Linked DNA regions of Arabidopsis thaliana. The protein of the gene in region 1 purifies or fractionates together with the protein of each later gene. This does not show direct contact. Each region holds a gene or a part of one and is shown in the gene's direction. Other genes may lie near its edges.

Region 1 (10,274 bases):
ACAGCTTAACCTTATGAATAAACTAAAAAGCAAAACATGTCTATAACTAAAAAACATATCAATTGATTATGCTATAGTTTAGGCAAGGCCTAGGAGGCTATACTAACCATGGATTGTCGATCTGACAAATCTTGAAGATAGCGAGATTCAAAAACAGCGTGAGAGTCACTGAACGCGGATTTGCGACTACCGTCATGAGACAAGCGTTTGCGTTGGTCAAGCACACGAGACTGGACTCGAACCAGAGCTTGCATACACCTTAATGTCATTTTAGCTTGCTTTCTCACATTATGTCCCCTCACCAATGCTTGTAGCTTCACTAACCCTTTTAATGCTCTTAATGCTCTTCTTGCCTTACCAAATTAGAAAGAACAAAACTTATATCAAGACCCAAAAAAAAATTATCTAAATGAAATCCCAATCTTTTAAATGGTAGATCTTGTATAAGCAATGTTAATTTTATAGACATAGACACACATCATTGTCACTAAAAAGTGGTCTAGAAGTCAAGTTGGTTAAAAAAATGAAAGTAAAAATATAGGTCATTAATAATTGCTCACCAAATATCCTCTGAAAGAAGTCTGGATGACAACAGCAGCGTAATTTTCTCTTGCGTAATAAATCCGCCTCGGTGCGAGTGTCTTAGATGCTGACGTGGCGATGGGGACTACGGCGGACGGGGGTTTACCGGCGTTGGATGGCGGCGTCGTAGTTGCGTAACTCGGTGCTGTCTCCGGAGAGGGTTTTGAGTTTACGTTAAGTGAATCTTCCTGAGGTGCTGGTGGAGAGATACCGGAAGACTTCACCGGAGATTCTTGAGTCGCCGGTTTTCTAAACCACCGTCTCTTCTCTCTCTTCTTTTTTTAAAAAAACAGAGAAAAATGAAAACCAATAATCATACTTTGAATATAGTAAGCAAATAATAAGATCTAAGAATAAGAAACCTTTTCTTCATCTTCTTCGACGTCATTACTATGATCTTTCTTCGTCGGAGATCGGAAAGCTCGCTTTACAGCGGTGAGCCAAGAAGAAGAGCCGTTCTTTTTCCCCATGTGTAATGTGTTTAATTACTTTTGGTCTCAACAAATTATTACCACTCTATTGTCTTTATGTATCGGTGTTCCGTGAAGTTGAGATTTAGGTATTTAGCTGTAGATTTTTTTTTCAGAAATAAGGAGTGAGAGAGAAACAGAAAGTACAGATAACCTTTGGTTGCTTTGTAAGAAGTTGCTCTGAGTCTGACCACCTCTTTTACTGCAACCACGACACCAATAACTGTGTTTCTTTCTCTTTAATAAATTTTATCTTTTCACCAAATACATAGTATTATTAATTTATTTTGTTGGCATCGATATTAACATGAATATATTCGTTTTTGGGTCCATATTGATTATATACCGTGCGGGACAATATACGTAGACTAGATAAGGAGAGAGATTGCACGTTGTTTTAGCTCCATAATCTACATTTTTATTTATTTTTTTTCTGTTATTCTACTAAATGCCAATATTTGGCTTAGCGCATGCGTAATTTTTACTACTATTATATAAAGTTGGTTGGAATGGTAGTAGGATGAACAAGTATTTATCGAGATTCTAAACAAATTGTATAAATCATTTTTTTTATTAATTGACAAATATAATCAAACTTGGTGTCTACAACTACATGATTTTGTGAAGTTTGGGGTTAAAGAACTAATCAAACTCGTGATTTTTGGACCAAGACGAATGTACAAGAAAAAATGAAAATATATTGGATCGCATATGATATGTTTATTGAAGACTATAAATATGTCAAATGAAGAATTATGTTACTAGTGCGAAAAGGACATCCATCAAGTATTGCTTGACCAAGCTCGTGCTGTCACATGCATGATGGACCACGGTGGTCGTTCCCTAGAAACCAACCAACAATTTCTGGTCAAAGTCAAATCTCTTAATTTGGGCTCTTATCTTTTATTTATTCACGGCTATTAGGTTTGAAGGCCCAATACTGAAAACAAATATATGTAAAATTAAAAAATGGGCCTAGCGAATATTTATGCGGCCCATCAAATAATTGGATAAAAGCTTTATAAACTCTGCATCTCCCGTCTCCGCATCCAAACCCTAGAAATTTTGTCTCTCTCGCCGCCTTGCGAAAAGCATTTTCGATCTTACTCTTAGGTAGTCTATGATTCTCCATTTGATCCGTTTATACTTGTTATTGGCATTTCATCATCGTCTGGGTTGTTCGACTTACTCTAATTTTGGTTTAAAACGGATTTAAAGTTTGTTTTTTTGTGAATAAGCAATTAATCTATTGTTACTGTTTTTGAATCGTTTCAGGATAAAAAAATGTCGACAGTTGGAGAGCTTGCTTGCAGCTACGCTGTTATGATCCTCGAGGACGAGGGTATCGCTATCACGGTATCTTTCCTTTGACTCCTGCTTGTCTATTTCTAAATCTTGATTGGTCTCTTTGCTTTAGTCAGTAGGGTTTTGGAACCGTTTCTTTTGACTTGATAGTTAGAAACTTAGTGAAAATGATTCTTATGGAGTGATAAGGATTTGGTATAGTATTATTTGGTCAGGAATTGAACAAGTATTTTATGTATCTGTCTAAATGTGTTTTGAATTGGGTAAAGATCTTTACTTGTGTTTGTTTATGTCGTTGATAGGCTGACAAAATCGCGACCTTGGTGAAAGCTGCTGGTGTTAGTATTGAGTCATACTGGCCAATGCTATTCGCCAAGATGGCTGAGAAACGTAACGTGACTGATCTCATCATGAACGTTGGTGCTGGTGGTGGAGGTGGTGCTCCGGTTGCAGCTGCTGCTCCAGCTGCTGGCGGTGGTGCGGCAGCTGCTCCTGCTGCTGAGGAGAAGAAGAAGGTAAATGAAATAGCAACGATAGACGAAATCATTCTTCTAACTAATAAGTGATATAAAATTGATCTCATTTTGGTATTGCAGGATGAGCCAGCAGAAGAGAGTGACGGAGATTTGGGTTTCGGTTTGTTTGACTAAACGCAGTCACTTGTCTTTCTTCTTTGTAGTTGGATATTGGAGACTATATTTTGTCGTATGAGTTATTATTACTTGTTTGATCTGGCTAAAGGACTATTAGTTGGTTTATGATGCGTATGTTGTATAACTCAAGTTTCCTAGCAAACCAATCGGCTCGGGCTTTTGTTAGAATTGATTTTGTTTATTTTCTACCAAGTCTTCGTTCATCAAATATAGGTCTTTAATTTCGAAAACGTCAAACCATAAATGTTAAATCCGGTCATACAATATTTAGAATTGTCATCAAATATAGGTCTTTAATAAAATTGGCTTTTGCAGTAATGTTAGGCCGGCCCAATGCCTTTATTATCGGAACATGTTAGTGTTTGTTCTTCTTCTTACCCAGCAGCGTCTTCATAACATTTGTACGTCTATTGTCATACATTCCATTTGATGAAATTGAGATAAGGATAAATACGATAAAAAAGTAATGGGATTTTTCGTAAGAGAAATAGGAAAACCAAAAAATGTTGTTTAGAGGATTAAATATGTTTCATAATAATTTAGTAGTAACGGTAGGAATTAGGTTTTAAATTCAATTTTCTTTCTTTTAGAGTCAAAAGTAGTTGCATCTATAGCTCTACCTGATAACAAAAGATTTATGGGATTATATACAAATCTTAAAGAAAACGGATCTATTCTTAAAACTCAATTGAAAAGCCATATTTCTAAATGGTTAGAATTTTATGGTTATTCACCTGAATTTGTTCAGATCATTTTGTTAATTTGATGATTCCACTATTGATTAACCAATTCGAGTTAAAGAAGAAAATAAATTATGTTGAGCATACTTAACAAGGATTATATTTGTAGATCGGATCTTGAAATTAAGAGATGAAATGAAAAGAAAGAAAAAAACATTGGTGTTAACGAAGAAGGGTGGGTCCAAAATTGATTAAATATTTTTCGAACAAACAAATAAAAATATATATAAGTATTTAGAGCCGGGATCGTCTGCCTCCTCTGCCTCTCATCTCTTGTTCTCTCCGCCCATCTCTGCTCTCTTTTATTTTCCCAGAAAGTTTTTTTTTTTTTTTTCCGAATTCCGTTAATCTCATTGGGGTTTCCATTGATAGCAATGGCGACGGCTTTCGCTCCCACTAAGCTCACTGCCACGGTTCCTCTGCATGGATCCCATGAGAATCGTCTCTTGCTCCCGATCCGATTGGCTCCTCCTTCTTCTTTCCTCGGATCCACCCGTTCCCTCTCCCTTCGCAGACTCAATCACTCCAACGCCACCCGTCGATCTCCCGTCGTCTCTGTCCAGGAAGTTGTCAAGGAGAAGCAATCCACCAATAATACCAGCCTGGTACGCTTCCTCTCCTCGTCTCCTTCTTTTGGAATTTTACAAGTTGTGAGATTTGTTGTATTGATTTAAGTAATTTGAAATAGTTGATAACCAAAGAGGAAGGATTGGAGTTGTATGAAGATATGATACTAGGTAGATCTTTCGAAGACATGTGTGCTCAAATGTATTACCGAGGCAAGATGTTTGGTTTTGTTCACTTGTACAATGGCCAAGAGGCTGTTTCTACTGGCTTTATCAAGCTCCTTACCAAGTCTGACTCTGTCGTTAGTACCTACCGTGACCATGTCCATGCCCTCAGCAAAGGTGTCTCTGCTCGTGCTGTTATGAGCGAGCTCTTCGGCAAGGTTACTGGATGCTGCAGAGGCCAAGGTGGATCCATGCACATGTTCTCCAAAGAACACAACATGCTTGGTGGCTTTGCTTTTATTGGTGAAGGCATTCCTGTCGCCACTGGTGCTGCCTTTAGCTCCAAGTACAGGAGGGAAGTCTTGAAACAGGATTGTGATGATGTCACTGTCGCCTTTTTCGGAGATGGAACTTGTAACAACGGACAGTTCTTCGAGTGTCTCAACATGGCTGCTCTCTATAAACTGCCTATTATCTTTGTTGTCGAGAATAACTTGTGGGCCATTGGGATGTCTCACTTGAGAGCCACTTCTGACCCCGAGATTTGGAAGAAAGGTCCTGCATTTGGGATGCCTGGTGTTCATGTTGACGGTATGGATGTCTTGAAGGTCAGGGAAGTCGCTAAAGAAGCTGTCACTAGAGCTAGAAGAGGAGAAGGTCCAACCTTGGTTGAATGTGAGACTTATAGATTCAGAGGACACTCCTTGGCTGATCCCGATGAGCTCCGTGATGCTGGTAAATATCGACTTCCTTCTGCTTCTTGATGCTTGTACTGATTATCTAAGGGTTGAAACAACCTTCTCTTTAATTTGAATTTTTTTTTGCAGCTGAGAAAGCCAAATACGCGGCTAGAGACCCAATCGCAGCATTGAAGAAGTATTTGATAGAGAACAAGCTTGCAAAGGAAGCAGAGCTAAAGTCAATAGAGAAAAAGATAGACGAGTTGGTGGAGGAAGCGGTTGAGTTTGCAGACGCTAGTCCACAGCCCGGTCGCAGTCAGTTGCTAGAGAATGTGTTTGCTGATCCAAAAGGATTTGGAATTGGACCTGATGGACGGTACAGATGTGAGGACCCCAAGTTTACCGAAGGCACAGCTCAAGTCTGAGAAGACAAGTTTAACCATAAGCTGTCTACTGTCTCTTCGATGTTTCTATATATCTTATTAAGTTAAATGCTACAGAGAATCAGTTTGAATCATTTGCACTTTTTGCTTTTTGTTTGGTGTTACTAAACTATCACAAGGTTCTTCTTGTAGTTCGTTGGGTTTTCATTGGTTACCACTTACCAGAGAATTGTATTTTTTTTTTTAAAGATAATTATTTTGCAACCTCGGGTGATTACACTCTAAACAAGATGGGCTCTGCAACAGGAGCCAGTACCACCAATTACACACAATCTCGTATAAGAACAATACATGCCAATACAGCTTCCACAGCACAGAAAACTCTTTTCCTCTTTGCTTCATCTCTGCATAGCTTGCTTATAATATAGCTTTAAACCTCAAGATTTGCAGACTTCTTCATAGTAAGATCAAAGAAGACAGTGTTGTGGTTTGCATAACGATCATTTGGGTCAAAATATAGCTTCAAACCTCTGAGGGAGTTCAAACATAGCAGATTCTATCACTACCACCTTCCCTCAGAGCCAAGGAGTTGTAGATGTAGTGGTCAGAATGAAGATTGAGGATGAATGGGCCATTAGACAAGATTGCACTGGTTCTAATTTCATGGCTCCTACTTTCTTTGTAATTAAAGTGTTTGGTAAAGGGAATAAGAGACTTGAAGAAATGAAAATGTTTGAATAATTTTTTATTTTTTGATTTATAACTTTGGGCCTTTTGTTTATTTCATGAAAAACAAAACCTGCTACGCGAAAGAGAGTGTCTCATCTGACGTAGCGAATACCGAGCAGGATTGTAACGGGTTAAATGACCCGACCCGATTTGTTCTATTAATTTCTATTTCATTTCTTTTTTTTTTAATCATTCTTCTCAAATAATTTACTTTCTGGTCCTTCGATAATGGCGGCCTCCTGCTTCGCAATTCCCTTATCTTCTTCTTCTCGATCGTCTCACAATGCAATTCCCAAATACAAAACCCTAATCTCTTCTTCTTCTTACTCTTACTTAGAATCTCTGAAACTTCAATTCTCTTCTTCCAATTCTTTTCATCACTCTTCTCTTTCTCGTCCCTTTGTAGCTCAACCACTTCAAATCAAGGTCTCTTCTTCAGAATTATCAGTTCTCGATGAAGAAAAAGAAGAAGAAGTAGTTAAAGGAGAAGCAGAACCCAATAAAGATAGTGTCGTCTCCAAAGCAGAACCAGTAAAGAAACCGAGACCTTGCGAGCTCTACGTGTGTAATATCCCTAGAAGCTACGACATTGCTCAGCTTCTTGACATGTTTCAGCCTTTTGGAACTGTAATCTCTGTAGAGGTGGTACTTCTTATCCAGATTTGATTGATCCTACAATGCCTTTATGAAAATTCAAAGTTTTACTCTTTCAACTTAGCTTTGAAAATTCAAAGATCATCCACAATGTAATTTGAAAATACTTAGCTTTGAGTTCCATCAAGACGAATCAAACGTACTGGTTACTCTTTTGAGTATATGGATGATTGACAAGTATAGTGAGAGGTGTGCATTGCTTGGAAATGATGTTGCAGGTATCGCGAAATCCTCAGACGGGAGAGAGCCGTGGAAGCGGGTACGTGACAATGGGTTCTATAAACTCTGCCAAAATCGCCATTGCTTCTCTTGATGGAACAGTAAGAGCCCGGGAAACCAAAAAACAAGTCTATCTTTCTTCTGGTTGAGTGTAAAGTTGAGTGCTTTGGTTTTGTTGCTATATATGAAGGAAGTAGGTGGTCGGGAAATGCGGGTTAGGTACTCTGTTGACATGAATCCAGGAACAAGAAGAAACCCTGAAGTCTTGAACTCAACTCCAAAGAAGATTCTGATGTACGAAAGCCAACACAAGGTCTATGTCGGAAATCTCCCTTGGTTCACACAGCCTGATGGTTTGAGAAACCACTTTAGCAAGTTTGGCACAATCGTAAGCACGAGAGTGTTACATGATCGTAAGACCGGGAGAAACAGAGTCTTTGCCTTTCTTTCTTTTACAAGCGGTGAAGAACGTGATGCGGCTTTATCATTCAATGGAACAGTTAAGTTCGTTATCCATAAAAAGAATCTTGCTTGAGGAAACTTCTTCTACTGCTCTCTGGCTTTATCACAATCTCTCTTTTGCAGCAATATGAAGGTCGCAGAATCATCGTCAGAGAAGGTATCGAGAAGAGTGAGTCGTAAACCAACTGTTCTGCTTTTGCTGCAAAGACATCTCTTGGACACAAACAATGTGTAATGAATGTCTTCTGATTTCTTCGACAAGTAACCTTTACATATTATATCCTTCTCGATTTTGTTTATCACCCATTATATCTACCTGTATAATTCTCTTTTCGATCTTCTTCTTCGATTCATCTACTCTACAAATGAAAGATAATCGTCAAACCTCCCCAACTGTCGTCTCACTCTAACATTTTGCCAAACACTTGGTGTGCATGCAATACTCAGGTTCCAAATAAAGAAAACAGAACCATTAGCATCTTCATTTTGTAAGGCTTAACTCCGAGGATCCGATTCGGAGACCCGAATAAGGATTTAGGATCCACACACGACTTTCGTCACTCTCCGATTCCATTCCCCGTTGGAGAAGATCAACCAACTAGGGTTTTAAATCTCGGGAGGAGACTGAAAAAGGCCATAAATGATAAATGGGCTTTATATTTGTTTAGGCCCAGTGAAATGATTTCAAGTGGGCCCATCTGATAACTACCTCCTTTTACCTTCTTACACCAGAAATCACACAAACCCTAGTGTGATTCAGTCCAGAAAATACAAACTTTTTCAATTAATTATATCACTAAATTTGTTTTAAGATATTGATCTTTAGAGCATGTTCATAGGTGATACTCACAAAATATCATCAAGAATATTTTTTAGTATTATTTATAATGTTTGTTTAATAAATATATATAATATTTTTTGCTTTTGTCAAATGTAACCAATCAGAAGAAGCCACGTCAGATGATACTGGTATCACAAATATCAGTGGGCTGATACTGATAAGCATATTCTAATTGCTTTACTAATATAAAAATAATTTTTGTACTTGTGATAATCTAAAAATATCACCCATGTACATGGTTTTATAACTATTTCTTGATTGCAACATTCACTATGGGCTATTAATGCCATTAAAACCGGTTCATTGCTGAATTTATTGGCCCAAACCCTAAAACGCAGCTTAAACTTGTTAGCCAGCCTTTAAACTCTGAAGAGTCAAATCGTGAACAATTAGATTTCACACATAAAGTATTCGTATCTAACTCAGGGTGGACACAATCTTCTTCTTATATGCTAATGATTCGTTCGCCACTTTCACGGTTTCACCTAATTACATACACTATTGTTTTCGTTTATACGTTTCTATTTTTTATTCGCATCTTCCTATTTCACTATTCAAAACCATAGTGTTGCATTACGCATTAGTTCGAGACAATTCAATCCTCCATCGGGGGGCTAAATGATATCACTCTAAATTTATTACACTTTCAAAATTAAAGTTTATATATACCACATATATAAGTAGTGCAAACTAGATGGATCCAATGAAAGAAAAAAAAAAAAAGTGTAAAAGGGATCCAATGAAGATGCGAACAATTAAGATGGAGAATTATTTTGTGAAAGTCACAAATCTCACCTGATTATGATTAGTCTATCTTGTTCAAAAGTGTTTTCTTTTTCCCAGTCATTTCTCGAATCTGAATCAAATATGACGTTTGATTTAGAAAATAGTCATCGTGCATATTTATTAGTGGCTTCTTTGTTATTATTGTCAGTGGTTGATCTATCTAAGAAGAATATGAATATTTAATTTACCTTTTCTCCCTAAATCCTTTTTCCTCTAGTAAATTAGAATAAACTAAACAGTAATTATCTCTTTCCCTACATCTATGTTGAAAATAAGAAGAGAAAGTTTCGATGTTGCGCGGAGTTTTGCAGGAAACACATGCATGTCTCTTCTTATTGATCCAAAATTTAAATTAAAAACAGAAAGCAAAATTAGAACTATAATGGAGATCAAGATTTACCAAGTTACTCAACCTTTATTCAGGCTGGAAGTATATATAACCCACAAAATTCTTAAGAAAGTTTTTGAATTTTGTTTAACCTAAAATTAATAACTTACTTGGTGGATGAAGAATCAATCATATGCTAAGAATTTCCGCGAGAGATGTAAACCTTTTTTTAATTATGTGAAGTTTTATGCTGTGATATAGAATCCGTGAGTAATGTTGTACTATAGTTTAGTGTTTTGAACTTTTGATCCATCCATTTATTTAAGATTAAAATATAAAAAAGAAAATCAAAGAATTTTAGTGGTAATTATTATCATAATCTGTTAGTATTCAATAAATTTTGTAATTTCAGTCCTCACATCAAATATAATAGTATACACATTTCTTTGCGATATTAGTGGCCACAAAATTCCCAATTATGCTCGAAGATAGAAGTTATAAATTAGAAAACTTAGTGAGGTACATGTCGACCCACACTATATATTCTTAACTTTTTTAAAAACGTTATTCTTGTCTCGTTACTTTCAATTGCTTTTCTGCTCCCTCCAACTATTTTTAGTGGGTTTGTTCGATATTATGTTCAAAAATTCTCTTCTTTTCCTTAAAAACATGTCGTGAAAAAAAAACACAAACATTTAGTTTCCGACTGAG
Region 2 (11,046 bases), about 11 Mb from region 1:
CATTACTATGAGAGACATAAGCAAGAAACAGAGGAACAACAAAAACCTCTGATTCATATACCTGAGCAATGCATTTACTTAAGCGCTTACTTGACCCTTCCAAGTCATAGCAATAGTATAAACTCAATGGGTTTTGTTCATATCCAACGCTTGGTGGTATTGTCAATAGAAATCTGCACCACGAAAAAATTACAGATTCATCAAAACTACTTCCTCTATCACAATTACAATTTCTGAACTGATAAAGATTCATTCACCTAACAATTTCATTACAAAAACAACCAAACTACACTGTTAGAGAGCAAAACATAACCATAAAACCAAACAGAAACTAAAAAAAACACTCAATTTTGCAAATCTAACTAACTCCTGATCAACAGAATCTTTCAAATCTTGTTTGTTCCTCAAAAACATTACGCATTATAAAGTTTCAGTTCTAGGTATCAAAATCCAGATTCTTCCGATCTTGGACGAGTCAACAAACTTACATTGGCCCGGTGGTACGAGAAACACGGCGAGCTTCGTCGGCGGAGAAATGATCCGGCGGTGTGTTAATAGCTTTGTCGAGGTCAAAGAGTGCGTAACGAACGGAATAACGGAAAGAGTGGCGGACAGGACGGAGACGGTCGTGCCAGACTGTGCCTTCGTAGAAAGAGACATTAGGATCGACGGCGGCGCGTGAAGGAAGGAGACGGTGGAGAAGGAAGCGAAACGGGAGGAGAAGAGAGAAGAAGATGGAAGTGATTGAAGTGTAGATGATTGAACAGAGGAGAAAGAGCAATTCCATATCTCTACCTCTGTCTCTCTATCTCTATCTGATCTTTTTCAAAAATCAGAGATTGACATTGATGACCCTTCAAATGCAGAGGTTTGGTATATTTATGATTTAATGCCACGTTTAACGATAAGTATTAATTTAACGAGTAATTTACTTTTATTATTTTTGAATCTAATAATGCCGTTTTAAAATGCTATAAGTTAGTATTAATTTAGAATTTGTCTCATAGAGGCCATTGTTATCTTCAGTGACAGTATATTATTGTGTTGTGTGGACCCAAAAGCCAAAAAGGATTGTTTTATTTAATGTTGCAACCAGTTATTATCATAGGGTATTTATCGTATAATCGTGGCTGTTGCGTGGACGTTACTAAACCACTGTATATAATATGTATTTGCATATGGATAAATAATTAAATCATCTCTCAAATTTATAAAAATTTGCATTATGAGAATTCACAGAACTAAAACTCGTAGAATGAAAACTGCATACTAGAAAATCAGATAATAATTTTTTTAAAAAAAAATCAGATAATAAAATAAATAACTGCATACATTTGATTGGTAAATTTTTTATAATCGCATTAAAATAATATTTTACCATATATGTGTTACAAATCAGAGTATAAAATATACAAAACAATATATTGGTAGAGACTAGAGAGACTCAATGTAAATGCTTTAGTTACGTTTATATTTCGCTTATGAAAATTTGTTCTTTGTGGAGAAAAAAAAAAGTTCTTTTTTGACGAAAATTTGCTTACTGGATAATACTGATCTATTAATTACTGGGCCAAGACACTTGAGGCCCATCAACTCCTAGATCGGTGGAAACCTCAAATCTCACAGTTAACGTAATTAGGTTGGTCCAGGTGGTTAAGCAAACCCAGTGATAATCCACAAATCATATACGTACACGTGCCAATCCAGTCGTTAAGTAACACGTGTTAAATTAACATTGGTTGTTATACAATAGAGAAGCCACATGAGTTCGATGAAAACAATGTAAACATGTGGATTTGATTGCACAACAACAATACACATAATTTAATTCGATTTCGACAATTTCATTTAATTCTTCGATTTCTCCGCTTGTCACTGTTTCGTATCGCCATTTTCTGTTTGCATACACTTGTATATATTTATATTAACAGTCCAAAATTCTTCGAAATTGTCCCGAGCTTTGAGCATATAAAAAATGTCTTCGATAATCCATGGAGCTGGAGCTGCTACGACGACGTTATCGACGTTTAATTCCGTCGATTCCAAGAAACTCTTCGTTGCTCCTTCTCGCACAAATCTTTCAGGTTCGAATTTTATTTGATGATCGATCTGCATTCTCTGATTTCGATTTCTGGTGTTTTGGAGCTTCTATTGAGATGGATTTGTGAGATCTTAAAGCAGTTTCGTTGTTTGATTTTGATGCAGTGAGGAGCCAGAGATATATAGTGGCTGGATCTGATGCGAGTAAGAAGAGCTTTGGTTCTGGACTTAGAGTTCGTCACTCTCAGAAATTGATTCCAAATGCTGTTGCGGTAATGTCTTTGTCTCCGATTTTGTGATTTTTATGGTTTCTCCTTCTAATCTCTAATGATGTACGTTTTTGTTTTGTAGACGAAGGAGGCGGATACGTCTGCGAGCACTGGGTTTGTTTTGCACCTTTTTAGCTTTGCAAATTCGATTTTGATTTTACTCTTTTGTGCTCATTGAAGGATTTAGACACTGCTTGAACAAATCTCTAATTGGATCTTTCATGTTCTGTTCTAAATGATTAGATTGTTTCAGTAGTTTTATTACATTTTAGTGGGGATTCAAAGTTGGATAACGATGAGGAAGTTTTTAACTATGTGCTATTGGGTGTGGTGATGTAGGATCCTAGCCAGTTCTAGAGTAGTCAAAACACTAATCTATAGTTGATAGTGATGGCAAAAGCTTAATGTGTTGCATGTCTGCTTCCAGTAATCATTCTAGTGATGCCTTTGGTTGTGCTTATGATGCCAAATGTTTAGGTTAAACCGTTAAACCATTTAGTTCATTCCCATGAACATAGTTTAACTCTCAAGAACATTTCTGGACATCATACGGCAATTGGTTAGGCTTCTGTTACATATTATGCGACTTTCCATTTAGTGAATGTTTCTGTTAGGGGTTTGTGTGTTGTCTTCATTTTCACATAAGCAATCCATGATGATGTCACCATGGCATTTTCTTTCATGTATTAGTCGTCACAAATAGCACATTTTCTTTATCTACCTTTAAACTTCCATGCTCATATTCAATATAAGTGTCATGATGATGCCTTTTTTTTGTCAAAAATACAAAGTGTGACCAATCTTCTCGTATGAATTTACAGACATGAACTATTGCTTTTCGAGGCTCTTCAGGAAGGTCTGGAAGAAGAGATGGACAGAGATCCACATGTATGTGTTATGGGTGAAGATGTTGGCCATTACGGAGGTTCCTACAAGGTAACCAAAGGCCTTGCTGATAAATTTGGTGACCTCAGGGTTCTCGACACTCCTATTTGTGAAAATGCATTCACCGGTATGGGCATTGGAGCTGCCATGACTGGTCTAAGACCCGTTATTGAAGGTATGAACATGGGTTTCCTCCTCCTCGCCTTCAACCAAATCTCCAACAACTGTGGAATGCTTCACTACACATCCGGTGGTCAGTTTACGATCCCGGTTGTCATCCGTGGACCTGGTGGAGTGGGACGCCAGCTTGGTGCTGAGCATTCACAGAGGTTAGAATCTTACTTTCAGTCCATCCCTGGGATCCAGATGGTTGCTTGCTCAACTCCTTACAACGCCAAAGGGTTGATGAAAGCCGCAATAAGAAGCGAGAACCCTGTGATTCTGTTCGAACACGTGCTGCTTTACAATCTCAAGGAGAAAATCCCGGATGAAGATTACGTCTGTAACCTTGAAGAAGCTGAGATGGTCAGACCTGGCGAGCACATTACCATCCTCACTTACTCGCGAATGAGGTACCATGTGATGCAGGCAGCAAAAACTCTGGTGAACAAAGGGTATGACCCCGAGGTTATCGACATCAGGTCACTGAAACCGTTCGACCTTCACACAATTGGAAACTCGGTGAAGAAAACACATCGGGTTTTGATCGTGGAGGAGTGTATGAGAACCGGTGGGATTGGGGCAAGTCTTACAGCTGCCATCAACGAGAACTTTCATGACTACTTAGATGCTCCGGTGATGTGTTTATCTTCTCAAGACGTTCCTACACCTTACGCTGGTACACTGGAGGAGTGGACCGTGGTTCAACCGGCTCAGATCGTGACCGCTGTCGAGCAGCTTTGCCAGTAAATTCATATTTATCCGATGAACCATTATTTATCATTTACCTCTCCATTTCCTTTCTCTGTAGCTTAGTTCTTAAAGAATTTGTCTAAGATGGTTTGTTTTTGTTAAAGTTTGTCTCCTTTGTTGTGTCTTTTAATATGGTTTGTAACTCAGAATGTTTGTTTGTTAATTTTATCTCCCACTTTCTTTTATTTAGACCCTTAGAATTTTCTTTACACTTTATATGTGTTCATGGTGCTAGTTACAATAAATTTTAACCTGAGAATTTTCTTTACACTTATTATAAACACATACACAACTCATTTCCTTCTGAATCCAGACAACGACTTTATTACAATGACCCCCATGTTAAAATAAAACAAAAAAACTTTCTACGTACCAATAACCAATTTACAAAAATGAAAGTAAAAAACCCCTAGAGAAAGCTTTTGCATTCCAAAAGGGTTCTACTAAAAAGAACCGCCCAAAAAAAGAAAAACAACAGTTAACAAAAAAAATAAAAAGACAAACATTGGTTCTTGGTATCTTATATCACCACTTGGCTGATTTACATTTAGCAGCTCTTCCTGTGTCGTTTAAGAACGAACCAAAAGTCTTGATGACTTCTTCATAGGTTGGCCTTTTGTAATCCACTGCTTGCTCTACCACTTCTTCTGGCTTCGCCCATTTCCACTCCGCAAACTCTGAATCCGCTTCGTTGTTCGCTAGATTGATCTCTTTCTCGTCCTCATCGTTCCTCAGTCTCACTAAATACCTGTAGGAATTATTAAGTTTCAGAACAATGAGCCACATTCTTTGCTTTCACGAAATTAAGTAGTATCGAAGGGCTTACCATTTCTGAGCTTGACCATGCCATTCACCGCCCCAAAGACGGTTAACTTTTGCTTTTACTGCTGGTGGAAAATCATATGTCAACCAATTTGGGACCTGTTTAGACATTAAAGAACCCACATTAGTAAATATATCCTCTGATTCATATCGGTTCGCGCAAGTGTTAACTTAAATGTTAGCGACCTCAGAGACGATTTCAGCTGAAACAACACCAGTTTCTTCTTGTAACTCTCTCATGGCTGCTGACTTTGGATCCTCCCCATCTTCAATGCCTCCCTGTAATATCCTCAGTTTAGTGAGCTATTCAAACTCAGAGATAAATGCAAAGCAGAGAAAACAGTCTCTAGACTCTTTGACTACTTCGAAAATGTTGATTACTTCACCAATCTAGAAAATATTCTCTATCAAATTCTTGACCATGTTTTCATTAGAGTGGTGTTAAACATTAGTAATTTGCTACGTTTTCTCTAAACAACAAAAGTTACAACACCATGAATATTTTGAATCATTGGCTTTTTGGCCAATAAAAGGACATAGAAACAGAGAAAAAAATATCGAAAACTCGCAAAACTTTATGTCATAGTGAGTGAATAAAACACACCTGTGGCATCTGCCATGCTCCTGGAACATTCAATCTAGAAGCTACAAATACCTGTGAATGATAATCATGGTCAATAAACTGAGTACTATTATTACCAGTGGCAAATTAAAAACAGTAATTAATCAAAGAGCTTAACTAAATGATGAAAATGTTACCAGATTATCCGAGTTGATTAGACAAACACCAACATTGGGACGATAACCAGGTGGTAGATTCTCCATTTTTCTGAAACAAATCACCACTTAACCATTATTTAACAGAAGAAAAAGATAATTACAAGAATTGTTTTGGTATCATTATTGTTGGTTTACTGTTTTTAAGTACTTTGCAAAACCAAAAATGTTTTTGTTTCTTCACTCTTTGGCTTATTTATAAGCAGATGATGTAGTTTTGACAGATTCTCCTAAAAAGCAAAACCTAACTACTCTATTGTCTGAATTTGGATCGAGGAAAACAAACTAGAAACTATCATGTTCAAGTTTCTATTCACTAATCAAAGACAGAAACATCCAGAAATGTTTGCAATTCCACTCTTAAGTCTACTTTCAAATCAAAAGAATAATTTTAACTAAATAAAAGAGTCAAGAATCATAATCAGAGTTGGTCAATTCCCAGTAATCAAAAGTCAAAACACAGAATTAGATAACAAACACATAGAAACAAATCAAGAACATACAGATCTGAGAAACAAAAACGAGAAAGCATCGAAAGAAGGAACAAACCTTATTTATTTGTTATCTTTGACTTTGCAAAAAGCAAGAAACAAAAGAAAAGTTTTTAACCCAACGAAGCAGCAACGAAGAACATGTGTGTGTGTGTGTGTTTTCTTTCAAACACAAAGCACACGTATAAATCTTTTACATTAATATATATACAGAATTGGATTCGGTCTAGAACGATGACGTTTCGTAATATCAGCTCTGACTATTTGGCATCTTATTCTAACTGTTTGTATTGGGCCGGGCCCACCGACGACTTATTTTAACATAAATCCAGTTGCCACGTGTATAATATAATGTCGAGACAAACATAAATTAAAAGGTATTTTTGGTTTTTGGTGTGTGATAATTAATAGACGCTTAATTACAGTTTTTTTTGTCAACGTTTTTTTTTTGTTTTTTTATACTTATATGACCTGGTTGTAATTTTCAAATTAGTTGACAAAATTTGTTTTAACTTCTAATGTAAAATTAGTTGACTTTGAGGAGGAATAATATTAGTTCCAAATTAGAAAAACATGTATTTGCTAAAAAGAAAAGTTGTATTTGACGGAGGAAAAAGTGTGATGTCATTGACACTTTGTGATAAGGACAACAACAAAAGAATACATTAAGCAAGTTGGCAAAAAAGAAGCAATCTCTAAAGAACAAGATTTAGAAAATTATAAGGTAATGATAAAAAAAAAAAGGATGACGGCGCACGTTAATGAGATGAGGTGGAAATTAAGTTAGCACCAAGGAATGTAGGCGCACGATAGAGGAGAAAAGGTAGGGGATGGAGTCAATGAGTGGACAGAGAGACGAACGTGCGGTGGTGGGGAAGCCAGGGAGTTGACTTAATAGTGAATTAATGATTATTTTATTTTTATGTTTGTCTTTTTTTTTGTCATTATTATTTACGACAAAAAATGTATTATTATAAATTTGTCTTTGCACTCAATCACGGATCATGAATAAATCTGCCACCATCTCTCTCTGTTTTTTTTTTTATTGATCAAATGGAACCAAATTGATCAATCATGTTTCAACTTTCCCTCTAGGTAACACTACCCTAATTTATCTTTAAAAAGTAAAACTAGTTCATTCTTCCTAGAATACTAGAATCATTGTTTGGAGACCAGCGACTGATTTTCGATCAGCGACTTCTCTTTGAAGACCACCACACTTGTTAGTTTCTACATAAATGAAAACATTCATCAATGAAAATTTACCATCTTCTAGAGTTTCAAGCTTTTCCGTTGGTTATTCCTACAAAGAAATATGTGGATAATCATGTTGAATCCAATTTTAAGTGCATATGAGTGCGTAAACTATCATTGATGCGAGAGAACTTCAAAAATGATCAAGAATCCACCACTTGTGGTAAAAGAGGATTGAAATGCAACATGCAGTTTAAAACTAGTTCCGCCAAAAGATCATCATTAACGAGAAAAATTTATACTTTAAACTTGATTTCTTCCACCACATCAATATATTAGATTTTGAATCAAAGAACACATAAGTATTTACTCAGCCTAAAAACCAGACAAATCCATAAGTCTATAGTTATCACTTTAAAATTTATGGTATAAAAAGTACTCCGAGTGGGGATACTAATCCAGATTAATTCCCAGAGCTATGGCCAATAATTTATAACTGTCCAATAATGGATGTTAGCCTTGCTAGGTTATTTTTAATCGCCATTAAAACGTTTTGGGCCCTAAAAGGCCCATTAAACACATGATATATTTGTCGTTGAGGGCATGTGCTCCCCAATACGTCTTTCAAAGTTTATGTTTTTGTTCTCCTGCCCGTTTTTTGGCATGATTTGGTACTCTAGGCCATATCATATGTGACCCAACTCGTTCAGTTTTTGTTCTTTTATTGATATGAAATATTCAACAATAATCCAACTAATGAAATAAAATAAAACTATTGGTAATTATTTTCAAAAATTAAATGATTAAGTGGGAAATAAACTTTTATAAAATATCATGCGAGAGGCTTCTAAAATAATGTATTAGTCATTATGATATGTAGTATATCTAGGTACTAGCGATTGGTTCGCATTATGTACCTCAACTAGATTTTAACCCGCGGTACACCGCGGGGACAATTTATCTTTTTAAAGTTAGTATAATTTTTTTTTTGCAAATTGTATCTATCTATAATATATTTTTATTTTATAGTTTACAATTGTTATTAAGTAACGTCCTGCCAAACCCGTCCCGCCAAACCCGTCCCGTAAAAAAACCATTTATTTATATTAATGTTGATCTTATTTATGATATGCTTATAAATCATTGTCTATATATTTTTGTCGATGCGGGACGTTGAACCCACACATTTTTTGCCAATTGGTTAATATATGTTCATTTTTAAAATTTTGAATCATAAAATATGACGGAAAAAATTAAAAAAATTTTAAACTCTATATATTATATAATGATGTTAAAAATTGTGATATATCAAAAATTTTATAAGTTTAAATATTAGTAATGTTTTATAAATTTTAAATATATAAATAATAATATTTAAAAAATTAATATGTTTGCTTATAAGGCAAAAAACTTTATTTTAAAATATTGTTAACAAATATGTTTATGCTAATTTAAGGGATTGATTTGAAGTTTGTTGGGATTAAATTTGATTGATAATGTGATTGACAATTTAAATAAAAAATTTAAAGTAAAATTAATTATTTTGGAAAAAAAATTTAATGCTAATGGCATTAGATCGTAAATAAGTCCAAGACCAGGATTTATTTGCTAAAATGGCTGCAAAAATGTATATATAGATTAAAATTGCATCGAGAACTAATTTCCCACATTTTAGACATTCTCTAGAGCGTGGTGATATGTATTTTCTTATATATTTTCAGATTTTTAATTGAATTTAAAATTTTTTAGATATACTCTGCATAATACATTTTCTTAAACCATGGAAATTTTAGGATTTTTTGATCCATAATTTTTTAGTATCCGAAGCGAACCTTTATTCTATTCATATTTAAAGACTGTCACTCTGTCACAAAGAAAAATAACCCTTGTAATCTCACTAGGCAATTACGATTACTTTGTGTAGAGTAAGTTGCTTTTATGTTTTTGGTATATGTGAAAATAAGGTTATTTATGGTTTTCTAGGCCAAAATTTGAAGAATTTTATCTCTGATCAACAGGGGAAAGAACTTTGAGCTTTGTCATTGGCTTTGGAAAAGAAAACATTTGTACGTCCGCAGTTTTGTTTCGTTCGTTTGATTCTCCAACAAAACGAGTTGTTCCCTTTTGTTTTTATTCATGGTCGTTATTCGTTCGCTCTTATGTAACATTTGAAGTTTGAACTGCTATATTATATCTCTCGAAAAATGATTCCAACTTTTGACTCAAGCTAGACTAAAGTCACAAACATATCACCAAATTTGAGTTTACATTCATGTCGACATACCTTTTTTTTCTTTAATAACGTATATACCATCTAAATTTAATAGGATCCCTTTGTTTTATAGTAAATACCATTTAGCATTTTTACTCATAAATTACAAAAATATTGTTTTGACATTTCAGTAATGCTTTTGAGCAATATTTGAGTCGTATATCTGTTATTTCACTTATAATTAGAAAAATCAAATTATGTAGTGTATTAATAAGAAATGTAGTAAAATTTCTAATAATGTTTTGGTATTATCTATGGAAAACCTTATTAGAACAATAATCATAGCAAAATGGTAAGACTATAAAACTTTTTTTGTATATAGAGAAAAGTGAAGAATAAGTTTGAAGGAAATGGGGAACAGACGTGAGACCAGGGGGGAGATGGTTAATAGAGAATATGCTCTGAGTCTGAGACCTCACATTTAATTTCCTGCCACGAGAACGCATCCCATGCGCCACATATATAACTAAATCTTCTATTTTTTAAAACTCAATTTTTAATCATTAATTTATTTTGAATTTTCTGTTCGATTTATAAAATTATACTATAATAGTAAGGGTGTTTATATATTAGTATGATCTCAAAACGTACACGTAGTACTGGTGCTTATATGAAACCCTAGCTTGCAATTAAAAATACATAAATGTGTGTCTCTTCTTCGTTCATAGAAGACAGTGAGAGCTTCATAGCCCGACCTTTACGCAAGGGCCAAACCGCAAAATCTTTCGTATCTTAATTTGTATTATTTGTTGTCATATTTCTGACATATCGTTTTACAAACAAGTGAGTATTCTATGTCAACAACGTATGTCTAGATGTTTGTCGACCTAAACTTTTGTTGGGGTAATCATTTATCATGCGCAGAATTTCAAAACTAATCGAAATTTCCACTCGTAAAAAAAAAAAAACCATAAGTAAATTGAAAAGAAATACTTTTTAACTTTGATCTAATATATACATTTAGAGCACAACCATTTTTGCGAAATCGTTTTATAGTGTATAAATTGATAACTAATGTAATGGAATAATACTTAAATCTTTCTTTCAACGAGTTTATATTTTGGAGTTCGAATCTAAGAACGTAAACTCAAACACGTGAACTAATGGTGCCCAATATTTCTAAAATTCCTAATTTATAGTATAGTATATAAAAGAGACTATACTAGAATTATGCTAATCTGTTGTTTGATAAAATATTTAATCATATGACGAACATATGATGGTTATTTCAAAATACAATGTTAGTTACATTGGATGTTTGAATCAATAATAAACTGCATTATTAGCTTTTGTTTTATTCGTTATTTTTTTCTGAAATATTTTAAAATTGTTGTCGTGTTGATCCAGGAGAAACTCAAGTTCCCAGGATATTGGAAGTCTAGAT
Region 3 (10,847 bases), on another chromosome or scaffold:
AAAAATAAAATAACATTTTTAAAGAATTCATCCTATAATTCTTTTGGGGTTATTAGATAAAATACTGGACTCGTGCCTCATCAGATAACATAGATTTATCATAAACGATAAACCTGTTTGTGAAATTTTCAAAAATTGGATTCCATTTATTTTGGTATTATTGCCATCTTAATACGTTTCAAGCGAACTAAAAAAATGTTAACTACTAGATTTTAATCCGCGGTGTACCGCGGAGACAATTCATTTTTTAAAATTAATATATATAAAAATTTATAAATTATTTTATAGTTTATCATTGTTACTAAGTAACGTCCTGCCAAACCCGTCCACAAAAAAAAACTATTTATTTTATTAATGTTGATCTTATTTATAATATGTTTATGAATCATTGTTAAAATATTTTAGTCGTTGCGGGACGTTGAACCCACACATTTTTCGCCAATTGGTTAATATATGTTCATTCTTAAAATTTCGAATCACAAAATATGACGAATTTGTTTTTGAGATTTTTTTAAACTCTATATATTAAATAATGATATTAATTATTTTTGATAGATTAAACTTTTTATAAATTCAAATATTAATAATGTTTTATGAAGTTTAAATATACGAATAATATTATTTAAAAAATAATATTTTTTACCTTTTAGATAATGATATATTAACTCTAAAAGCAAAAATTTAGAAGATTTAAATTTTTAAATAAATATTTTCATTCCTAAATAATTAATGTCAGTAGCATGACATTGTAAATAAGTTGAAATACATGATTTGTTTATTTAAACAAAAAACGTTTAGTAAGAACAATATTTATTTAAACAAAAAATTTTGTTTTAAAATATTGTTAATAAAATACGTTTGTGCTAATTTTAAGGGATTGATGTGAAGTTTGTTTGAATTAAATTTGATTGATAATGTGATTGACAATTTAAATTAAAAATTTAAAGTAAAATTAATTATTTTGGAACAAAGATTTAATGCTAATGACATTGAATTGTAAATAAGTCCAACTCTAGGATTTATTTGTTAAAATGACTGTAAAAATGTATACATAGATGGGTAGAGTATAAATTTTATGATTAAAAGTTACATTCAAATTTCAAAACCATACTTAATTCTAAAAAAACAACACTTATAGTTTATAAGCAGCTCTTATGATAAAAATCTTTCTGAGTTATAGCTCTGTTAAACTTGTATTCACCCCAAAAACGGATGTTTCATTTCTTATTTTTTACTTGGAGTATTTTATTGTAATTTGTAAAAAAAAATGTAAAGTGGGGGATATCATGAAAAACAACGTCACTTTGTTTGGTCACAATATACATTTGATAAAATAATGGTCGTCGCGTGATTTAGTTGATTTTTGTTTTATCAACCACGTGTTTCACTTGATGAGTAGTTTATATAGTTAACATGATTCGGCCACTTCAGATTTGGGTTTGCCCACATATGACATACCGACATAGAAGGTTAAATCCACGTGGGAAATGCCAATATTCAATGTTTGGTTTTCAAAAGAGAATCATTTCTTTATATGATCTCAAAAGTATGGAATTGAAATGACTAATGAGCACATGCAATTGGTGCTATCTTAAAAACCGAACGTCTTTGAATTTAATTTGTTTTTCACCAAAGGTACCTAATGAAACCCTTTCATTAAAAAATAAAGGTAACAAACAAAATTTTGTATTGGAAAAAACATTTTTTGGAATATATAATTTGGTAATAGAATTATGAGCAAAAAAGAAAAAGAAAAGAAAGAATAATGAGCATAATAAAGCCTTTACAGTATTACTAATTGGGCCGAGCAGTTTTGGGCTCTTGATCATGTCTAGTAATCTTAAACAGACGATAAAGTTAACTGCAATTTAGTTGGTTCAGGTGAGCTACCAAATCCAAAAATACGCAGATTAGGTTCACCGTACCGGAACAAACCGGATTTATCAAAATCCTTAAGTTATACGAAATCACGCTTTTCCTTCGATTTCTCCGCTCTTCTCCACTCTTCTTCTCTGTTCTATCGCAGACATTTTTGTTTATATGCATACATAATAATAATACACTCTTGTCAGGATTTTTGATTCTCTCTTTGGTTTTCTCGGAAAAATGTCTGCGATACTCCAAGGAGCTGGAGCTGCAACGGCTCTCTCGCCGTTTAATTCTATCGATTCCAACAAACTCGTTGCTCCTTCTCGCTCTTCTCTTTCAGGTTCGATTTCAAATTTGTGGAATGATCTGTTTCGGCGATTAAATTGCTTGATTTGGTAAGATCTTAGGAGTTTTTATGGGGTTTTTGATGTAGTGAGGAGCAAGAGATACATTGTTGCCGGATCTGATAGTAAAAGCTTTGGTTCTAGCCTCGTAGCTCGTCGCTCTGAGCCGTTGATACCAAATGCTGTTACGGTATTTGTTTAATCTTAGTTTTTGATATCGTATTAAGAATTTACAATGGATCTTTGATGGGGCTTTCGATTTCTGTAGACGAAGGCGGACACTGCTGCGAGCTCTACTTCATCAAAGCCTGGGTATGTTCTGCATCCTTTGTTACTTAACTTCTTATGCTAATGGTTTCATGCATCGATTTTACTAATTTTGAACTCTTGATCATTATCATGGCTGTTAATTGGAAGAAAAAGTTCTCTCTAGTTTGGTAGTTAATTGTGATTGGCATTGCTCATCTATAGTGCATTAGATCTATGATACTGCTTCTGCTTGATTGAATCTTGTGTTTTATTAGTAGTAGTTCATGTGAGGTTACGTATAATTTGTATCTACATCCTCAAAGCCTACAAATTCAAGCGTATGCATTTTCACTTATGCATCCATTGTTCCAAGTAGCACATTTCTTGCTCTTATCTCTGTATGTTCTGTGAGATATAAAACCTACTTCCATGTAAGGTTTATGCCTTTTGCCACAGCATAAGCATAACTAAATTTAACTTGTGCAGACATGAGCTATTACTTTTCGAGGCTCTTCAAGAAGGTCTAGAAGAAGAGATGGACAGAGATCCACATGTATGTGTCATGGGTGAAGATGTAGGCCATTACGGAGGCTCATACAAAGTAACTAAAGGCCTAGCTGATAAGTTTGGCGATCTCAGGGTTCTGGACACTCCAATCTGTGAAAACGCCTTCACCGGTATGGGCATTGGAGCCGCCATGACAGGACTAAGACCCGTCATCGAAGGTATGAACATGGGGTTTCTACTCTTAGCCTTCAACCAAATCTCCAACAACTGTGGTATGCTTCACTATACATCCGGTGGTCAATTCACTATCCCGGTTGTTATCCGTGGGCCTGGAGGTGTGGGCCGGCAGCTCGGAGCCGAGCATTCCCAGCGTCTCGAGTCTTACTTCCAGTCAATCCCTGGGATCCAGATGGTGGCTTGCTCAACACCTTACAACGCTAAAGGATTGATGAAAGCGGCGATAAGAAGTGAGAATCCTGTGATTCTGTTTGAACACGTTCTGCTCTATAACCTCAAGGAGAGTATTCCGGATGAAGAATACATATGTAATCTGGAAGAAGCAGAAATGGTCAGACCCGGTGAACACATCACGATACTGACGTATTCAAGGATGAGGTACTAAATCACAACCAAAAGCTCTTCTTCATTGAAATTGAAACAACACAGAACTAATAGAGTACTTGTATCAGGTACCATGTAATGCAGGCTGCAAAGACGCTGGTGAACAAAGGGTATGATCCAGAGGTTATCGACATAAGGTCGTTGAAGCCGTTTGATCTCTACACAATTGGAAACTCGGTGAAGAAGACACACCGGGTTTTGATTGTGGAGGAATGTATGAGAACGGGAGGAATCGGAGCCAGTTTGACGGCTGCAATAAACGAGAACTTTCATGATTACTTAGATGCTCCGGTGATGTGTTTGTCTTCTCAGGATGTCCCAACTCCTTACGCCGGTACATTGGAAGAATGGACGGTTGTTCAGCCAGCTCAGATCGTCACTGCCGTCGAACAACTTTGCCAGTAATTGCTTTTTTTACGGTGATTGTGTTTTACCCTTTTTTACTTTTTGTTACTGTTTGTCTTCGATGGAAAATGCTTGTGAAATGAAAACTCTGAATTTTACTCTTATGATATGAACATTTATATTTTCTATAGATAATAACTTCCATATTCACATACACTACTTTTTTTCTTCAGAAAATGATCGTATTACAACATTGTACAAAACCAAAAACCTTCTGGAACATTATTAGTTGATAATAACAAATCGTAATAGCGGTTTCACCACTTACTCATTTTACATCAGAAGAACATAAATCAATAAAAATACTAATCATTAGGTAACAAAATTGTCATAATTCGTGCCGACGAAAAAAGAATATACTCAAAAGAACAGTGGGGCATAATTGACATTTTCTCAATCTCCTCCATAATTGTGGTGAAGAGTCAAGCAAATGCGTGAATACAGAGTCGGAGGCATCTGAGAAAGAGAGAAAGAGAGATCTCAATGGCGGCGATAACAAGCGCGGTGATAGCAATAGCCGGAATAATCTTGGGATGGATAACGATAGAGTTAGCTTGTAAGCCTTGCCTGGAGTCGGGCCGTGAAGCCATCGACAGATCTCTCAATCCCGATTACGATCCTGATGACCAAGACGTCGACTCATCTTCCGATGTTCGTGCTCCTCTCATCCCTAATCATCCTCCCGATAATTCCGATCCTGATCCCACCACCGCGATCAAGTCCGTCTGATCGATCTTGAGTTTTGTTTGTTGATTTGCTATCCTTTTGTAAAAGTTTGCCAATTTCAGTTGATTTGTGGTTGATTTGTGGTCGTTTTATTGAAAGCTTGTGTTTTTGTTCTTATTGCAAAGTTATAATTAAGAAACAAGACGAGATTTAGCCATATGAGTAAGGTTCTTGTTTTTGGGGACGAATTGTGTATCTCTTCTTTGATCAGCACGAAATAGCTTCCTTCTTGTTTACACATCAACCATGCCTTCAAATTTTGCTTATCTATGACTCAAACATACATAATCTACTCCGTATCAAATTTAGGTATTTGAAGTTTTAAGTTTCAGATGGTTATTTGTTGTAGTAGTAGCCAAGTAACTTTGGACGCTGAGTTTTTGTTTAATCGACAAAGAACTCAAAAACTACAAATCAGTTCAGTGACGAAGAACTTGGAAACTGTAAAATCGACTTAATGGGCTTAGTAGTATTTGACTCTAAATGTTATGGGCCTTAAATAACGGTGCCTATAATAGTTGAGTTGACTCTGCTTATTCAGTTATTCCAATCTCCCAGAGTTGAAAATTCAAATTCTCTCTCTCTAGCTATGGCGCTTTCTTCAGCTTTCAAGGAGAGGCTCGATCAAATGGAGTTCACCAGAAACCAACGACTCAATCTTCTCCAGGTATCGATCAATTTAGAATCCTAGCTTCTCTTCGTTCCACTGCATCATCGAGTTTCAATGTCGCTAGTATGTAAATGTGAGAATCGCTATATCCATGTGCTAATCGAGATCTCTGGTTTGATGAACTATTGCTCTAATTCAATTCGAAATCAAGAGAATTATCTAAAAACAGATCATTATCATATTCTGCATCAATTTATCGATCATCACTATAACAGTATTTTTCAATTTGAAATTTCTGAATCCAAATTGTTGATCGTTTTCTGGTTCTGTTTGATTATAATGTTTGAGTAGGCGGAGAAAGAACTACAAGTGAACAAAGCACAGATTTTAGCATCGAAGCACGCAACTATACAATCCATTGAACGCAGATGTTTGATGCTAGAACAGAAAATAGCAGCACAAAACCTGAAGATCACAATTCTCAGATCTAACATCGATGATCTCGACTCCAAATACCACAGCTATATACAACAATTGAGGTTAAATCATTCTTGACTCTTGGTTTGATGATGGTTGTGATGTCATAATAATGTTTTTGATTGGTTTCTGTTGAATGGTATTGGAGAATAGGACACTGAAGATTGAGGTTGAGGAGCTGAAAGAGTTAGATGAAGAGAGGGAGAAGTATTACAAGGTGAAATGTTCAGAGATGAATGAGTTTATGCAAAATGTTGAGAGGTTTAGATCAGAGAACCGGTTACAAATCGAGAACCTGCGAAACCGAATCAAGGAGGTAAAATCACAGTCAAGTGTGTGGTTTTGGATTAAGTAGTGATTTGTAGCATTGTATGCTTTAGTTATGTATTATCAATCTTTGTGTTTCTCAGCTTAACTCAACGTTCGAGGAAAGTCATCAGAAGAACATTTATCTACAGAACATAAATTAAGGTATGATTCTGAATTCCTAATCATCATTTGAAGAGAGATGTAAAAGTATATTGAGCACGGTTGTGGCCTGTGGGAATTACATAGGGAAGGCTTTTATGAGATTACTAAATGATATTATCTTTATAAAAAAAGAGATTAAAATGGATACAGTATTCAAGACATTTTACATCACTAGCCAATTGCAGCCTTTAGATATATTATGAAAAAGAAATTAACTAAAATAATAGATAAATTACAGAAAGAAACAATGTAATAATCATTGTGAGTTGTGACAATAAATATTTGTAATAAAAAAGGATCTCACAAAAAAAAAATTGTTAAAAAAGGAAACACATATGTAAGCAAGATGCCCTATATATTACGGTTTTGGAATAAAATGTTAAAAATAGTTTAATAGATTTGATTCACTAAATACACATGTACATATTTGATGGCATGATGATCAAGAAAGTACCGTAAAATGTTAAACTTCCAATGTTCCTTAGTGAAAAAGGTAAATATGTATTTTTCACAAATGTTAAACTTGTCATTTGTGTGTTTGACAGGACGTGTATATAAGCATAATCTATACCGGAGAAGAAGAAGTCACGAAACAAAGTTAAAAAGAAGAAATTTTTTGGTGTAGTGAATTCGAAGAGCAATATGATGAATATTGGTTACATTTTAACCATCGTGTTTGTTGGTCTCATCCTCATCTCGGCTTTTGTGGCGTGTTTCTATTGCGCCAAACGATTACTCAAATGTTGTGGCGGAGAGGAAGATTCGCCTGCTACTGCTACTGCGTCTACGTCTACCTCTACGTCTTCTGCGTCTGCGTGATCAACTTTTAGTTATTTGTTTTGGTTTGTTTCTTTTTCTTTCAATGATTTTAGATTAGTAACCTAAAGGCATAGCAGATCGATAATGAGACTCGGCAAAATTTTTATCTTTATACCGCTGCTTAATAATTAAGTTTTCACTTATTTAATGATATTGTACCTCTATTCTTGATCTTTCAATGATTTTGTTAAACATTAAAAATTTGCAATGTTATTGTTACATGTTACTTCTATATATATAGAACCAAAACGAAAGCAATACAATACTATGCAAATACATAGTAGAGATAGCAAAATCAACAAATAAAAACATGTAAGAAGAGACATGAGCTCATGAAAAGAATTCAAGACAGATGTACCAAGCCTGCCTAGAGTTCAAGACATGTCATGATGACATGACAACAAATTTGTTAGCTTCTTCTTTAGATCTAGCGCAATTGCAGGGTTTGATAGGAACAAATAACTGATTACTTGTTAGATTCTGGATCTACATACCAAATAAAAGAAATAACTCATTGGCAAACTGTACTTTGAAAACATGTTTTCCATTTTGTCTCCAGCTTACACTCTTCTCACATTAGTCTAGTCAATGTTAACTTGTCATTGGAGCACTGTGGGTGATCATAAAGAGAAAGAAAAAGTGTTCAAGGTCTGCAAAGATAAACATACTTTTTTTCTAGTTTGTGTTTGGTGAACAGCCTTTGTGGTTTTTCCTAAAGGAATTTCAAATGATAAACAGACTACAATGCAAGATGAAGAGTACTGGACTCATGACAACTAACAAGTTGTTTGATAAAAAAAAAAAAAACAAGTTGTTTGATTCTCTCGCTAACTGTTCAAGTTGGAGGTCGAGAGCAGAATCCTATTAGCCTCCAACATTTTTGCAAAATATTAATATAATTCAGTTGAAATTGTTACCTTACAAACAATTCAAAATTTAGGACAAAAATCGAAAACATAGGTTAGTAAGTTTGCCAATTATTTGTTTTTTGATGACGATGGTAATATCACCAAAACGAACCAAGCAAACCAATAAAAACCGAAATTTCCAAATTAATAAGTTAATCGGCGGTTTATCTCCACCGAACAAGAAAAAAAACTAAAACCCTAATTCCAGCGTCGTCTTCGCGCTCTGAGAAAAATCGCAGAGTAGAGACTAGAAGGAGAAGAAGATGAGAGTGAAGAGGCAGAAGAAAAACAGGAGAACCGTGAGATTCTTCACGGTCTGTTACGGATTCCGTCAACCCTACAAAGTCCTTTGCGACGGCACTTTCGTCCACCATCTTGTCACTAATGAGATCACTCCCGCCGACACTGCTGTCTCTGAACTCCTCGGAGGTCCCGTCAAGCTCTTCACCACCAGGTTTATATCTCTTATTGCATCTTCACATTCACGAGCTCATATCAATTTACCAAATTTCTTATTATGCTTTCGTTGGAGCTGTTATGTAGATGTGTGATTGCGGAGTTGGAGAAACTGGGTAAAGATTTTGCGGAATCTCTCGAAGCTGCCCAGACGCTTAATACAGCAACGTAAGCTTCCCTTTTTCTTATTATCTTACTTGAATGTGTGATTGATTAGTAGATTGTGGAAATTTCGAATTTGATTCATAAGGTTTGGAGTTGAGTTTGTAATTGTATTACATCTACGATGAGCTTAATGTACAGAAAATGAGGTTTGTGTAACTGATATGATGAGCTTAATGTGTAGAAAGTGAGGGTTTTTAAGTTCCAAGCTGGATTTTATATAGTGTATATGATGAAATTGATTTGTGTAACTGATATAATGAGGTTAATGTGTAGAAAGTGAGGTTTTTGTTATGTGCCAGACATGAATTTTGTTTGATGTTTGTGTGATTGATTTGCTTCGATTTGAGTTTTTAGATGTGAGCACGAGGAGGCAAAAACAGCAGACGAGTGTTTGTCAGAGGTAATAGGGGTACAAAATACTGAGCATTTCTTCCTTGGTACTCAGGACGCGGAGTTTAGGAGAAAGCTTCAGCAGGTTAGTTTGATGAGCAGAGTTCTTTTGTATCAGAGTATGGATTTACTGTGTGGGTTTTAGAGTTTTTAATACAAAGAATCTATGTGTGTTGTTTCCTCTTTCAGGAGTCTATAGTTCCTCTTGTGTTTGGTCTAAGGAACATACTGCTGATTGATCAACCTTCTGATTTCCAACGTCAGAGTGCCAAAGACTCTGAAAATAAGCGCTTAACTATGACCGATACGGAAAAAAAGTTGTTGGTGAAACGGACTGCGAAAATCATAGCTTCTAATAGAAAAGAAGCAACAATTGCAAATGAAGAATGGGGAATGCCTCGAGTAGTTTCTACAAAAAATGGACTTGGTGTGAAGGATAGACCTCAGTTCAAGCGAAATAGAGCCAAGGTAATGAACAGCTCTCTTTACAACGTTAGTCGTATTTAATTAGTAGCTTCTAGGTAGGGAAATTAATCGTAGTATCATTGTTAGAATCCATTGGTTTTTAGTCTTAGATGAAGTAGCAATGGAGGAGAAACTAACATTGTTGTCTCAAAACTCTGCAGGGTCCAAACCCACTTTCATGCATGAAGAAAAAGAAGGAGAATCCTCAATCCAAATCCAAAGCCGATTCTAACTCTAATGCACAAAAGGTAACATTAGAGACATGGCTCCATTATGTTTACAAGTAAAATGTTCCAGTGTTGACACAAATTCGATATTTGTTTTGGGTTTCCAGGAAAAGAAAGAAGGCGGGAGCGATACACAAAAGAGGTCAAGAAAACGGTCAAAAAAAGGAAAGTCTGGTCCGGAGAGAACCGAGTGAAAACAGTTGTTTTATATATAACACATCTTGAGTCCTTACTTTTTCTACTGCATACAAAAATTTTGGTCACCAATCAGACTAGAGCTTGAGTCTCATTGCTGTTATACTCTCATTTTATTTCAAGCAAAGACGACCCGTGTAACAGAGACTCCCAAATTTAACAGAGACCAAGAAGCCAACTTGAAAAAAACATTCCCCAAAGATATCATACGCTGAAACTGAGTCCCAAGGAACTAGGAGCATTTATTCATAATTTAAGACAGAAAAGTTCATTGAGCATCCGTAATTTGGATGCTTCCATACAAATAATGAGCAAGTTCTAGATGGCATAGATGTATATATTACATCGAATTTACTTGAGAATTTGGCTACCATAATCATCATTGAACTTGTCGTAAAGATGGGCGTGCAGATGAGCCGATGGTCGAGTGTTGCTCAGAGCTCGATCAATGTCTTCTGGCAGGATGGGACCAATTTTTGGCAGCTCTGCAAGACAAAACTAATAATGTCAAAGATTCTGCAGTTTTAAAAGGTAAACTATGCCAATGACGGATTCTTTTTAAAAGAGATATTACCGTCTTCAGGCACAACATCTTCTCTGTCTTCCAAAATAGCCAATGTGCGTCTCAGTGGTTGCATCGCAGCTTCCTTACAAAGTATTCGAATGTCTGAACCAGAGTAGCCCTCAGATTTCTCAACCAACACATCATGAGGCAATGGCTCATCACCTGGTTGTGACGGTATAAGCATCTCGAACATTCCTCTTCTTGCTTCTGGATCCGGTAAAGGTACAAGAATCTAATGGTTTCACTAGTTGAGGCCTAAACAAAAGAAAATCATGATACAAGCATTTTTGTTCTATGAGAGTAAGTAAAAGGATACTCGTTTCTCTAGACGCCGGAGCATAGCTGCATCTAGTTCCCAGGGGAGATTTGTTGCTGCTA

What was found.
Region 2: the proteins of PDH-E1 ALPHA (region 1) and PDH-E1 BETA fractionate together in Arabidopsis thaliana (co-fractionation; one large-scale study listed by BioGRID). This does not show direct contact.
Region 3: the proteins of PDH-E1 ALPHA (region 1) and AT2G34590 fractionate together in Arabidopsis thaliana (co-fractionation; one large-scale study listed by BioGRID). This does not show direct contact.

The regions. Positions count from the first base shown.
Region 1 is NC_003070.9:43,017-53,290, reverse strand, and holds PDH-E1 ALPHA (pyruvate dehydrogenase E1 alpha), read left to right. Parts: upstream 1-3,986; 5' UTR 3,987-4,124; coding exon 4,125-4,355; intron 4,356-4,438; coding exon 4,439-5,216; intron 5,217-5,308; coding exon 5,309-5,586; 3' UTR 5,587-6,057; downstream 6,058-10,274. Other genes in the region: IQD18 (IQ-domain 18), read right to left, coding at 108-353, 561-857, 945-1,052; AT1G01100 (60S acidic ribosomal protein family), read left to right, coding at 2,337-2,408, 2,660-2,872, 2,954-3,007; AT1G01080 (RNA-binding (RRM/RBD/RNP motifs) family protein), read left to right, coding at 6,502-6,918, 7,146-7,247, 7,337-7,645, 7,732-7,788. UniProt on the Arabidopsis thaliana protein: The pyruvate dehydrogenase complex catalyzes the overall conversion of pyruvate to acetyl-CoA and CO(2).
Region 2 is NC_003070.9:10,577,407-10,588,452, reverse strand, and holds PDH-E1 BETA (pyruvate dehydrogenase E1 beta), read left to right. Parts: upstream 1-1,772; 5' UTR 1,773-1,975; coding exon 1,976-2,084; intron 2,085-2,205; coding exon 2,206-2,312; intron 2,313-2,391; coding exon 2,392-2,423; intron 2,424-3,130; coding exon 3,131-4,103; 3' UTR 4,104-4,348; downstream 4,349-11,046. Other genes in the region: AT1G30130 (DUF1365 family protein), read right to left, coding at 62-173, 489-787; NUDX25 (nudix hydrolase homolog 25), read right to left, coding at 4,632-4,854, 4,933-5,027, 5,115-5,207, 5,533-5,583, 5,688-5,753. UniProt on the Arabidopsis thaliana protein: The pyruvate dehydrogenase complex catalyzes the overall conversion of pyruvate to acetyl-CoA and CO(2).
Region 3 is NC_003071.7:14,562,104-14,572,950, reverse strand, and holds AT2G34590 (Transketolase family protein), read left to right. Parts: upstream 1-1,807; 5' UTR 1,808-2,106; coding exon 2,107-2,209; intron 2,210-2,302; coding exon 2,303-2,403; intron 2,404-2,481; coding exon 2,482-2,525; intron 2,526-2,948; coding exon 2,949-3,584; intron 3,585-3,658; coding exon 3,659-3,995; 3' UTR 3,996-4,149; downstream 4,150-10,847. Other genes in the region: AT2G34585 (uncharacterized protein), read left to right, coding at 4,479-4,724; AT2G34580 (cytomegalovirus UL139 protein), read left to right, coding at 5,311-5,388, 5,683-5,870, 5,962-6,124, 6,219-6,278; MEE21 (PIN domain-like family protein), read left to right, coding at 8,270-8,460, 8,550-8,630, 8,982-9,102, 9,207-9,485, 9,644-9,730, 9,817-9,903; CCP1 (P-loop containing nucleoside triphosphate hydrolases superfamily protein), read right to left, coding at 10,256-10,389, 10,479-10,701, 10,786-10,847. UniProt on the Arabidopsis thaliana protein: The pyruvate dehydrogenase complex catalyzes the overall conversion of pyruvate to acetyl-CoA and CO(2).